Arabidopsis thaliana: one gene and its partners. The protein of the gene in region 2 purifies or fractionates together with the protein of the main gene of each other region. This does not show direct contact. Each region holds a gene or a part of one and is shown on either strand. Other genes may lie near its edges.

Region 1 (3,755 bases), on a different chromosome or scaffold from region 2:
CAGACCTGATTTTCTCAGCTTGAGCCTAAATGTGATTTTGAAAAAGGCTTCAGCAAAATGAAAGAGAGTGACAAGCAAAAGAAGTAAATCAGAATCACACCAACCTGTCTCTCAAAAAGTGGCTCAAATGCAAGATTGGCCCTCGATGTCACACTTTTCATACAATTAAACAAATGAGTAGTTCCTGAACCTTCGGGGTCTTCTTCAATCCGCTTCAGTTTTGACTCAATATCTATTAAGAAAATCAGTGGTCAACATGAAAATGAAAGAAGAAAAAAACATAAATTATTCAGTTGGAAGTAATAATACATACCATCAATTGTTGTTTTACATGAGACGAAGCAGTCAAAATTGTCCTTCACCAATTGTTTCCTTTGCAGATTCCGACCCTTTAAGTCACTTTTCAAGCCAAGGGCACCAGCCTCCAAATCTGCTGCAGTCGTGTCTTGGTGAATACGGGAAAGAAACAGCTTCGGATCGAAATGATCAGAGAAGTAAACCAATTTTTCTGCAAATACTCAGAAAAAGATACATAACAATTAGACAACTGGAAATTGTACATCGAATTAGCCCTCCAAAAAATTGTAAGTGCTACTGTTCACTCGAGTTGTAGATATGGTAAAGAAAGACATACCGCGAAGAGTATTATCCACTTTCTCAGCTTTTGATGGGCTGCCTGACGACTCAGTGATTAATCTCAATGTCTTATTGTCTATGATCCTATGAAGTAGACAAATTCAGGTTTAGATATGTTCTACCATATCAAAGACAGAGTACAAAGCATCTGACTGGCTTCCATGGTAAGCAAAACGAAACGAGAGCAATTACCCTAATTTTAGTGGATCAATACATTCCATTCCACGAGGAAGTGACTGCAAACTAGTCAGAGCCACTTTCTTCCCAGGTGCAGGTGCTTTACCTTCTACTTTCTGAACCACGGGTGCTGTTCTCGATTCCCTCATATCACGAACCCTACGAGCAAGCTGCCAAAATGCCACCGGAATTTCAGTGAAAATGGTCATCTTTCCACTTATACATCCATATGATGCTATGGTTCTAAAATCACTAATGGCATGCTAATTATCAAGCTCTCTATATCAACTCAACACCAGAAACTATGGATAGCATTCACCGTATCCCACGAATGGTATTGTTCAGTGTCGTACAATTCAACAAATAGATCAATATATCGAATTCAAACTCTTGAACTTGATCGAACAAGCAAAGCCATAAGCATTCACTGATGAATCTCGCCACAAATACATACCTCAGCTTCATTAACCCGTTTCCAACAATCAGGCTCTCCTCCATCCCAAGCACCATCATCTTCCTTCCTCGCTCTTCCCTTCTCTCGTACATCGCTACCTCTTCCTCTCCCCGCACCACCACTAGAACCACCTATTTCCCTTTCCCTCTCCAAATCATCATCCCCGCTCGAAATGCTAAGCAATTCCACCTCCGACTCCTCATCCTCATCCATGGAAGGCTTCCTAACCGCCGCAGCAGACTTCTTCGGCGGAGCGGCAGCCGCAGCCACAGGCTTCTGCTGTCGAGGCTGCTGCACTAAATTGGCAACAGGCTTACGAGCAGAAGATGAAGGAGGTTTCTGATAGGTGAGATCTCTCTTAGCCTGCTCTTTCAACGCCATTTGAAGAAGCTCATCTTCGTCAAGATCATTGCTATCGCTCGACATGTTTCGGCGATTCAGATGATCGATCTCAGTCTCCTCCGCCTTGAGCTATAGTTAGAGATCTGAGAAGCTTTAGTTTCGATTTTGAGATTTCAGTTTGTGATTTGTGTGACAATTTTAATTTGTTTTTTTTTTTCTTCCAGAAATATTGATTTTTAGATTAAAAGGTGTAAACGTGGAAAAATCAAAACATGGCGATGATAAGAAAATAATATTTTCCGGTGTGGTGGCTTTTTGACCGGATAATTTGGTATGAAGGACAGACACACAAGATGTCAGTAACTCGATTTTATCCTCAAAAATGACTCTTAGATTAATTTAGATTATTTGCAAAAAATTATTACGTTGCGACGTGATTTGTCCTTCTCTGAGATATACATTTTGAATACTGGAAGCAATGAGTAATTCACAGAAAAGTTGTTCCAGTATTGACTGTGAACGAAATGGAGCCTCTGTTGAAAATGTCAAGATTCAAGAAGCTAAATGTTAGATTGACAAGGAACTCTTCGAGACATAATTCATTTGAGGCTCCAATAGTAGTTGAAGAAAATGAATCAAGAGTGCATTAAGGATAAGCCATAAGGAATGATTGATGATTCACCTTATTTCCTCAGAAACCAAAGGTGCAGGATCTGTTATGATTATGAGAATGTTCTGGATTCTACACTGGAAAAACCAGTTGATAGTTTCTCAAATAATAAGCACTAAAGAGTTGAATTCTGAACTTATGGAAGGACAACGTGAAGAGAAAATTGAGCGAGACACAGTTTTAATATCTGCAGTTAAGGAGGACAAAGAGGAAGTATCATCACACTCTGTACTTTTTGTCAAGCGCTTATCACCTGCTTCAGTGCAAGTACCAGTGAGCAGCACTGAAGCTGAGCTAGTCGTGTCTACTGGCCGTTACCTTGTTAAGAATATCGTTTCAATATCTATTGCTGAGAAAACTACCAAAACTAAGAGAGAAACTCTTATTTGCACTCCTAGATCTGAGAGTGTAGCTCTATAGAAGGTATATACTTGTATTCATTTGATTTGAGTTACTTTTTCAGTTTTATGGCTAAACTAATTTTGTTCTAATCCGTGTTTCTTTCTGATTTTAATCACAGCAATCTTGGAAAACTCAGTTGAATGTTGGAAGGAGATTCACTCAAACAAAGATGATGATGTGAAAGGTTCCTTAGAGAAGGAAGTACAAGCAGCAACTTTACATGGAAACTTTTTTGAACACAACACTTAGAACAACAGTGCAGAAGAAAGAATGGAGATAACTAAAGTCGGTTGTGCGAGTGTTGGTCATTGTCTGAATCTAACACCAGAAAAACTTATGGATGAGTACACTCAGTTGGAGCTAGAAGAAGCAGTCGGCACTAAAGTCAAGAGGCTCTTCCGAATAAATGAAGACAGTGAATCAAGAATTCGTAAAAGAAAAGCCACAAGGAATGGCTGAGGAGGAGGACTTACTCATACATCTGAAACCAAAGCTACAAAACATGTTATGGTTTTTTACACTAAAAGTTTCAGGTCATATTTCACCGGTAAGTAACACTCATCAAGAGGTGGATTCTGAACCTTTGGAAGGATAACATGAAGAGAAACATGAGCAAGACACTATTATGATGGATGTGATTAAGGAAATATGTATGTTGCATGGTATTAGTCGTAGATGAGTCCTTTATTGGAATTGAAACATTTGTTCAGTCTTTTGGTCGAATTACTGCTAGTTGTAAAACAGAAGAGTAATATGTCTATACAAGTGTGTAAATAGTACTCTTTTGTGCCAAAAGATTTGACTTAGTTCCTCCTCTGTTATCTTAATAGATTTTACAACTTTTTGGGTTGAGTACTGAGGCTGACCTATAAAACTTAATAAAACTTTTGTTTCATCAAAAGGCTCTCTAATGAAAGTTCCATCTGAGTGAAAGACGAACGATCATTTCGCACAAACTACAAAGAGCTGAACAATCATTTACCACCAATCCAACTAATACCAGAATGAAAACATTATTATATAGCATAAATAAAGTTTAACTAAATTATATAGAAATGAAAACTAGCAATCCCA
Region 2 (3,755 bases):
GATCACTTAAAATATCATGCAGATTATACATTGCTAGTCGTGATGCAGTATGGTGGAGATAACAAATGTAACCTATAGATAATAGCCTTTTTACCTTATCAGTGTACATTCAGATCTTTTTACAAATTCACTAGGTAGCTCCGATCTTGTAACGTATACCAAATGCTCCAGAACTAACACCAGTGACTATCTTACAGAAGAAGCAATCTACGAAACTCAGTAACTTTATTTGACAAGTTTTCATCTGAACTTGTCATAAAAGTAAGAAGGTAGTGCCTACATCTCAGTTAGATTTGATATCTAAACATTACCCAAGAGTATAGATAAAAAAAATTTTGGCATGTTAACCAGATTCTTCCTACATATTCCCATTCTTTCCTAAATTTTCCTCTGTTAACATTGTAACCTTTCCTAGTCTGGACCAAAGCAAACAACAACAAAAAGTATAATTGAAGCTTCCTTTTTAGAACTACTGCACTATTTGATTTTCAATGTTTCATACAACAACAAGTATACAGTCACCAACTTACGAAATGAGGGGTTATAGAAGACATAATTTCTTATCTGCCTTTTCCCAAGTCAAGAATCATAATACTTGGATGCTAATGATACTTAATGTTGCCTCAAACTAAACCGAACAGAGGAAAAATAAATCAAACAAACTCACTTAGAAAAGTTTATCTTCAAGGGTCAAAAGAAACTTTCCTCTGGACTAGAGTACTTTTAATCTAAAGTCTAAACGCAATCAATGGGTAGTGTAAACAATGCAAGAAATAGAACGATGTCGGCGCTTCTTTGTCCCATGTGTAGGGGAACAATAATCTTCTAACATATATTACAGCAAATTAGCCATAACCACCAAAAATTATGATATATACTATACAACTAACTTCAGTAAATAGAAACAGTTTCGGCAGATGAAGAAGATATATACAAATTCATAGAACGAATACACTAAAGCTAGGAAATCATCTATGTACATGACCATCATCCTCAATTTTCGGGTAAGCAAGGCAATGAACATGGACAGCATTTCTCACTAAATCGACAAAATCATCTTAGTTCAGCTATAAAAGGATCTCATTTTCCTGTGCTACCATCTATGGCAATCTTTTTCACAACATATTCACGTGATCACAAAATTCACAACACTCACTACACTACTGAATCTAAATCTGACACATCAACAGAAACATCCATGAAAAAAATAACAACGAAAGCAGCTTATCTAATCAATCACTGAATCACATAGAGATAGAGATAATTGATCCCTGACCTTTGATGTGTTCATGATGAGCAGAAGCAGAAGCAGCAACAACATCTCCATCATCATCTCCACCAGACTTGACAGTAACAATAGGCACAGGTCCATCACGATCATCAGGATATCTAACCACAACAACAGGACAAACACAGTGATGAACACAGTAATCACTAACAGAGCCAAGCTTGCCATCACTTCCTCTTTTTTTCTCAGCACCAAAACCTCTACTTCCCATAATCACAGCACTAAGACCAAGCCTCTCAATCTCAAGACATAATCTCTCTCTCATATCATGATCTTTCACTATATGGATCTTATAAGGAAACCCTAACTCCTTCAACGGTTTAGCTAGATCCGCAACTTTTGTTGAAGTAAAAGCATCAAAATCCTCTTGACTAGGTTGAGGTTGAGCGTTTGGATCTTCAATTTGAGTTTTCAGAGGGAGAGGTCCCCAATCGGCACCGAAGAGGACGGAGGTTGGAGAAACGTGGAGAAGAACAACGGCGTCTCCGGGACGGATGTAGTGATCTACAGCCCAACGAACGGCGAAAGAGCTTTCTTCGGAGAGATCAACTGCGACTCCGATTTTACGACGAGCTCCGGCGGTTGGTGTTGGAGTTGCGGCGGAGGAGGGAGTAGATGAGGAGTGGTGATGGTGAGAGTGACGTGGAGATGGAGGGTGATGGATCTTGATGTTTGGAAGCTGTGGATGATCGGAATCTGCTGGATTCATGATTTTTTTCAGATGTTGTTTTTGTTCGTCGGAAAGTGGGAGTGAGGGAGGTTTCTCTTAACGGAGAAGAAAGAAGCGTTGTTTTTGTTTTTTTAATAGAACATTAGACTGCATGCCGTTATTTATATACAAAGACGACAAGCATTCTAATATAGATGTAGTTAATAGAAGGAGTGATCCAACGGTCAGGATCAAATCTGAGCGCCATAGTTTTGAAGAAGACGATTCACTAGATCTCCGGCGTCGGTGATTTCCTCCACTTCCTTTTCTGGCAGCTAGAAGACGAAACCTCACTCAAATTCTGATCTCTTTGTATAATTCGATCGAGTTATTCGTATGATTCGTATAGATCGGTGACTCAGATGGCGAACTACTTGGCTCAGTTCCAGACGATTAAGAATTCCTGCGATCGTCTCGTCGCCGCCGGTGAATTTCTCCCCAATTTTTTTCAAATGTGTACATTTCTAGGGGTTTTGTTTCTCTACGATTGCTGCATTCGATTAGGATCTTATTTCTCCTTTTTTTTTTCTGCCACATTTTGCGATGTCATAGCTATATATTAGTGGAAAGTTTCTCAATGTAGGTGAAGGATCAAATCAGATGATATGAATCTGTTAGGTTGTTGGTTGGTCAGGTTATACTCATGAATGAAGCTAAAAGTGCTTAGAAATGAGCATCCATTCCTGAAGGGAACTGATCATGATGATTTCTTTTGTTTCTGATCTTAAACTCTACTTGTTCGTTAGTATTAAGATGTCTTCTCTTTATATTGTTCCCGTTGCTCGTTGTAATAGTGGTTGCTTGCATATTCTTTTACAGTGGAAGATGTGTGTGATCTGTGGCCTACAGTGAAAGGTTTATTTGAAGAACATCAGCCATTAAAAAGAGCATTCTTGACTAACAAGACTCGAAATCCGGTTTTTGTTGAGAACTTGCCGGTTGAATTCATATTAACTACAGACGCGAGGCTTCGTAGTCGATTCCCGCAGGAGCAGTATTTGTTCTGGTTTCGAGAACCATACGCAACTATAGTTCTTGTCACATGTGAGGTACTTGCTTGTTGATATGATGATATGTGTTTTTTTTTTCTGTATCAATCTTGGCAGTGGAGAGTAGTCACGTGCCAAAATATGAAACAAAGATGATGTGCTTGATGATATTCGTTTCTGTTTTCCTTTTCTATAAGAGATAAGAACCTATGTTTAGATAGTAGGTACCGTTTCTAATGTATATGGTTTCTGGATTAGGTTAGATTTATCACTTATGTGGTTCGACAATTTTTGTTCTTCTAGCTTTTCTGAGTATACCTTTGACCTTGCAGGATCTTGATGAGTTTAAAAACATTCTCAAACCACGTCTGAAATTAATTGTTCAGAATGATGAGAGGGAATGGTTTATTGTATTTGTATCTAAAGCTCATCCAAGTAATGATCAAGCAACTAAAAATGTCAAGAAAGTATATGCGAAGCTTGAAGTTGACTTCAGTTCAAAAAAGAGAGAAAGGTAAGCTATGCAGATTGGACTGTGTTTATGTTTTTTTGCTCTGATACAAGCAGGCACGAACCGAAAAAATACCATGCCAGATTCCTAATGAGACTTGATTGCTCCTACTATAGTTCTAACATAAATAGATTAGGTTAAACAGTTTGCACGATTGCAATCACTCATATTTTTGCTAGATGCATAAACTAAACCCATTTAGCAGTAATCACTCATTTAAAGGAAGTTATCTTTAAGTTATATACTTATGGAAATGCA
Region 3 (3,755 bases), on a different chromosome or scaffold from region 2:
TAGTATAAATTTTTTCAAAAAGAGTTTTTCAAGTTTTCCCAAATGTACGCCTTTTTTAAAAATGATATGAAATGGAGATGCATCAGGAATTACTGTATATAAGATATCAACAAAAATTTACAACAGAAAAATAAAAGTCATTTCAAACATGAAACCAAGCCCTCACTGTTTAAAACAAGCACCACAAGGCTAAAGTGTGTCAAAAGAACAGCAAACAGAAGCCTGCAATGGGTTTTAGATTGATCAGACCCGAAGGATCTATCTTCCTTGAAAGTATAAAGCCAAGTACTCGAGCTAAATGCAGAATCAAGCCTTGACCCGAATCACGAAAGAGCCTGTGAGGACATGACAAGGATAGTTACCGAACTGAAGCAACTTATAATGACAGGTAATAAGCAATATTTGAAATAATTTTCTATCTTTCTTCCCTCCAATGTGTGATTTTGAGAATATAGAAGAAAGTGAAAGAATATAAGAATTTCGAAAACAAGCAAAGCAAGCTGTGAACTCACATGTGGGAAGGCTTGATATATCTGCAGAGACAGCACAAGGTATCCCCAAGTTGGAGAGGACACCTCTAATGATTCCACACGGGAAATAGAGGTACATGCTCACCGCTTGTGCAGCTTTGCTTTCCCCTGGAGTAGAAGGATCTTGGGTTTCATTCTCAGATGAAGGGTCAATTGAGACACGAGACAACCACCGGAACTTGTTGTCTTGTAATACAAAAGTACCCTGAAGAGAAACATTCCATCTGTGAATAACACACACAAGAAGAGTTTTGGTCTTTGTTCAGGTAAAATCCCAGTTATCTTACCCGGTGATTTGTCTTTAAATTATCAATCTGCTTCTTGAAGACCTCAGACCAGAAGTCTTTGCAGATAAACTTGATTGCCTCTAGATGGTCACTGAACCTTGGTCTTTCCATAGTGTACCTAACGACATAAAAAAGGCTGAAGTTATGCACAATCAAGTAAAATGCTAAATATCTGCCATCATACAACACTGTAAAACAGTTTTTATGTAGGCAAACACCTTCAGAAGCAACAAAACATGCCTCAACAGACTAAAATCATTCTTCGTACACACACACTATAACTAATCAGGGACTAAGAGAATCATTCTTCTGAGACAACAAGAAAATTTCCTAACCAAAACATTGCACGATTAAATACAAAAATTAGCCACTAGAGCAATGAGAAAAAAACTCGAATCAGCGCCATATATCTTCCCATCTATCACATTCTCAGCCAATTACACACGAGAAACGATAAATCCAATATCAAAGAGAATCATTGCTAACGATATACATTCGCCATCATCTTCAGATCTACAACTAATACTAGCAACCTAGAGATACAATGATCAACCAGATCGAAAGAAGACGATGATCAAGTGTAAAACAAACCTCTCGGAGAGCTGGTGGCCGACCTGATAACCAATGGCCTCGATCCTCCGAGCGGCGAGTTCCGGCTTGTTAGCATAGAATCGGCCACTGTACATCGCCACCATCTCCATTAACATAGTGTCTACACAGCTCTCCGCCACTTCTCTCCCCATTTCTTCTCTCTCTCTCAGACTCTTTCCGTCTTCTCTCCACCGGTTTGGGGCTTATGCAACGAAGCTCCGATCTATTAACTTGTAGAGTATTTACATTTAAGTCCTTAATAGTTTTCTATTATTTCTGATCTGTGACTTCATTTTTTAAAGAGTCATGATAACCTTAATCTCTGACATTTAAACCGGATCGTCTTGGTTCAATTTTCCTTCAAATACCCGATTTATACAATTATTTCAAGTGAATGGAAATTACTTTTGGTGTGCTGAATGCTGATCATTTATGGTTAAAAATCAATTTTACTTGTATAATATGAGATATAAATATAAATAAATAAATCATGATTATTGAATAGGACTTTTTTAATATCTTTTTGGTGGGCAAAAGAGAGACAATTGTCTCCCACGTTTTCTAATTTAATTAAAAAGAATAACACATTATTGATTATTAAATAGCACTTCAAAAATTTACATTTCATAAGATTGATTTTGAAATTAGATCAGCTTGTAATAAGTCTTTCAAATTTAAGATACAGAATTGAAAAGAATAATATTTAAATTCTTTAAACATCACATGTCCAATAATTAACTCTTTAAACATCACATGTAAAATCAGTTAAAAATAAAAAGGATGAGAAAAATGATAGTTTTTTTTTTTTGTTTTAGAGTGGAAGTGGGAGAAGCGATGATAATTACCTATAATACCCTTTAACTTTTGTGTAATTACTCATGTTTGCGTCAAGTGTATGGATTTGGTCGCCAGAGAGAAGAAGAAATATACGATTCATACGAATTCTGTATCGCAAAAACATCAAATCTCGAAATTGAGCTCCTTTTCTGGAACTAGGGATTGCTTTCCGCTCCTTGCGCTAAGTCTACTTGGTTTCTGATTCGTACAATTTGATGAAATGCGAGTGCTCAGCGAGATTGCGGAGTCACCGTTCGTGATTTCTCGGCTAAGCCCTGATTCGACGGCCACCGGAGGGTTTATCGGCGGATGGGTCGGGAAGTGTCATGGGTTTCTTCATAACACGGTTTTGGTTTTAGCATCTATTCTATTCGTCGCTTACTTAGCGTACGAGGCGAAGAAGAGCTTGTCCAAGTTGTCTAATCGGAGATCTTACATTATGATTGCCTATTATGGTTTTCTTTGGCTTGTTAGCTTGCTCAATCTTGCTTGGTGTTGCCTTCAGGTTTGTTAAAGTTCTCTTCTTTACTTCGATTCATTTCACAAGTAACTCATACCTATGTTGCGTGTAAAGAGATCAGAACTTAGATTGAAGAAGAATGCTTTTTAGAGTGTTTTAGGCTCTGTAAATGTAGAAACTTTGCGATCTTATCAACATTGTTTTTATTCTACACTGGTGATTAGAAAGCTTTTGTATTTTGTGTAAGCTATTAGTGTTGATTTCTTGGTTAGATGCTGCTTAACAGGAAATGTTTTACCTGATTTAGTCTTACTCCAGATTTCGTTTTGAATTTACTTTTCATGAGTTTAGGCATGGGAATGCACTCCGGGGAAAGAAGTTATTTGGAATTTGTTAACTTTGTTCACAACATCTGGAATGTTGTTTCTGGAAGTAAGCTTGGTAGCCTTTCTCTTCCAAGGAAACTATGCAAGCGGTGCTGAAGCATTAACACGAACTTTCCTCATCTCGGGGCTTGTCATTGGTCTCGATTTGCTTCTCAAGGTAGATTTGTGTTCATAACTGTTAGATACACTTTCTGATATATAGATAGATATACTTCCTTGAGGTATATTGACATGATCTTAGTTCTGCATTAGATCATGTGTCCACTACAGTTGATATATGCAAACTTGTATTGTCTGGTTACTCAACTACAGTCAGTTTAATTTCTTCACGGTTTTCATTCTTCCTTTCAGGCAATTTATCTGTTTGGCTTTGGAGTACCATTGTTTATCGACAACAATGAACATATACATAAGTTCAAATGGGGCTTATGGGTCATCCACAAGCTCTTACTAGCTGGCATTTATGGGATGATATTCTTCATGTACAACTCCAAATGGAGAGAGAGATTACCAGGTGAATACATCGACCACTCATATCCTCCTTATGGTTGCATAAGCCAATAGCTGTTCACTGGCTTCTATTACTCATCCCATATGTTTTTATTTTCCGGTTTGACAGCAAGACCTGCATTCTACAAGTATATAACTGTCATGCTCGCCTTAA

What was found.
Region 1: the proteins of CLUB (region 2) and SEC5A purify together in Arabidopsis thaliana (affinity purification with mass spectrometry, with the first as the bait; one study listed by BioGRID). This does not show direct contact.
Region 3: the proteins of CLUB (region 2) and AT3G05000 purify together in Arabidopsis thaliana (affinity purification with mass spectrometry, with the first as the bait; one study listed by BioGRID). This does not show direct contact.

What each region holds. Positions count from the first base shown.
Region 1 is NC_003070.9:28,845,951-28,849,705, reverse strand, and holds the start of SEC5A (exocyst complex component sec5), read right to left. Parts: upstream 1,836-3,755; 5' UTR 1,694-1,835; coding exon 1,268-1,693; exon of another isoform or gene 984-1,267; coding exon 829-983; intron 721-828; coding exon 635-720; intron 509-634; coding exon 314-508; intron 233-313; coding exon 105-232; intron 26-104; coding exon 1-25. Other genes in the region: AT1G76840 (uncharacterized protein), read left to right, coding at 2,418-2,685, 2,800-2,865, 2,944-3,140. UniProt on the Arabidopsis thaliana protein: Component of the exocyst complex involved in the docking of exocytic vesicles with fusion sites on the plasma membrane during regulated or polarized secretion. Involved in polarized cell growth and organ morphogenesis.
Region 2 is NC_003076.8:22,097,697-22,101,451, forward strand, and holds the start of CLUB (CLUB), read left to right. Parts: upstream 1-2,067; 5' UTR 2,068-2,359; coding exon 2,360-2,423; intron 2,424-2,816; coding exon 2,817-3,046; intron 3,047-3,318; coding exon 3,319-3,500; intron 3,501-3,755. Other genes in the region: PHOS32 (Adenine nucleotide alpha hydrolases-like superfamily protein), read right to left, coding at 131-186, 1,277-1,997. UniProt on the Arabidopsis thaliana protein: Specific subunit of the TRAPP II complex, a highly conserved vesicle tethering complex that is required for the proper transport of proteins in post-Golgi trafficking pathways to the growing cell plate in mitotic active cells.
Region 3 is NC_003074.8:1,387,138-1,390,892, forward strand, and holds AT3G05000 (Transport protein particle (TRAPP) component), read right to left. Parts: upstream 1,695-3,755; 5' UTR 1,561-1,694; coding exon 1,409-1,560; intron 936-1,408; coding exon 818-935; intron 736-817; coding exon 513-735; intron 336-512; coding exon 307-335; 3' UTR 38-306; downstream 1-37. Other genes in the region: Cand2 (Protein of unknown function, transmembrane-40), read left to right, coding at 2,466-2,750, 3,057-3,248, 3,443-3,605, 3,711-3,755.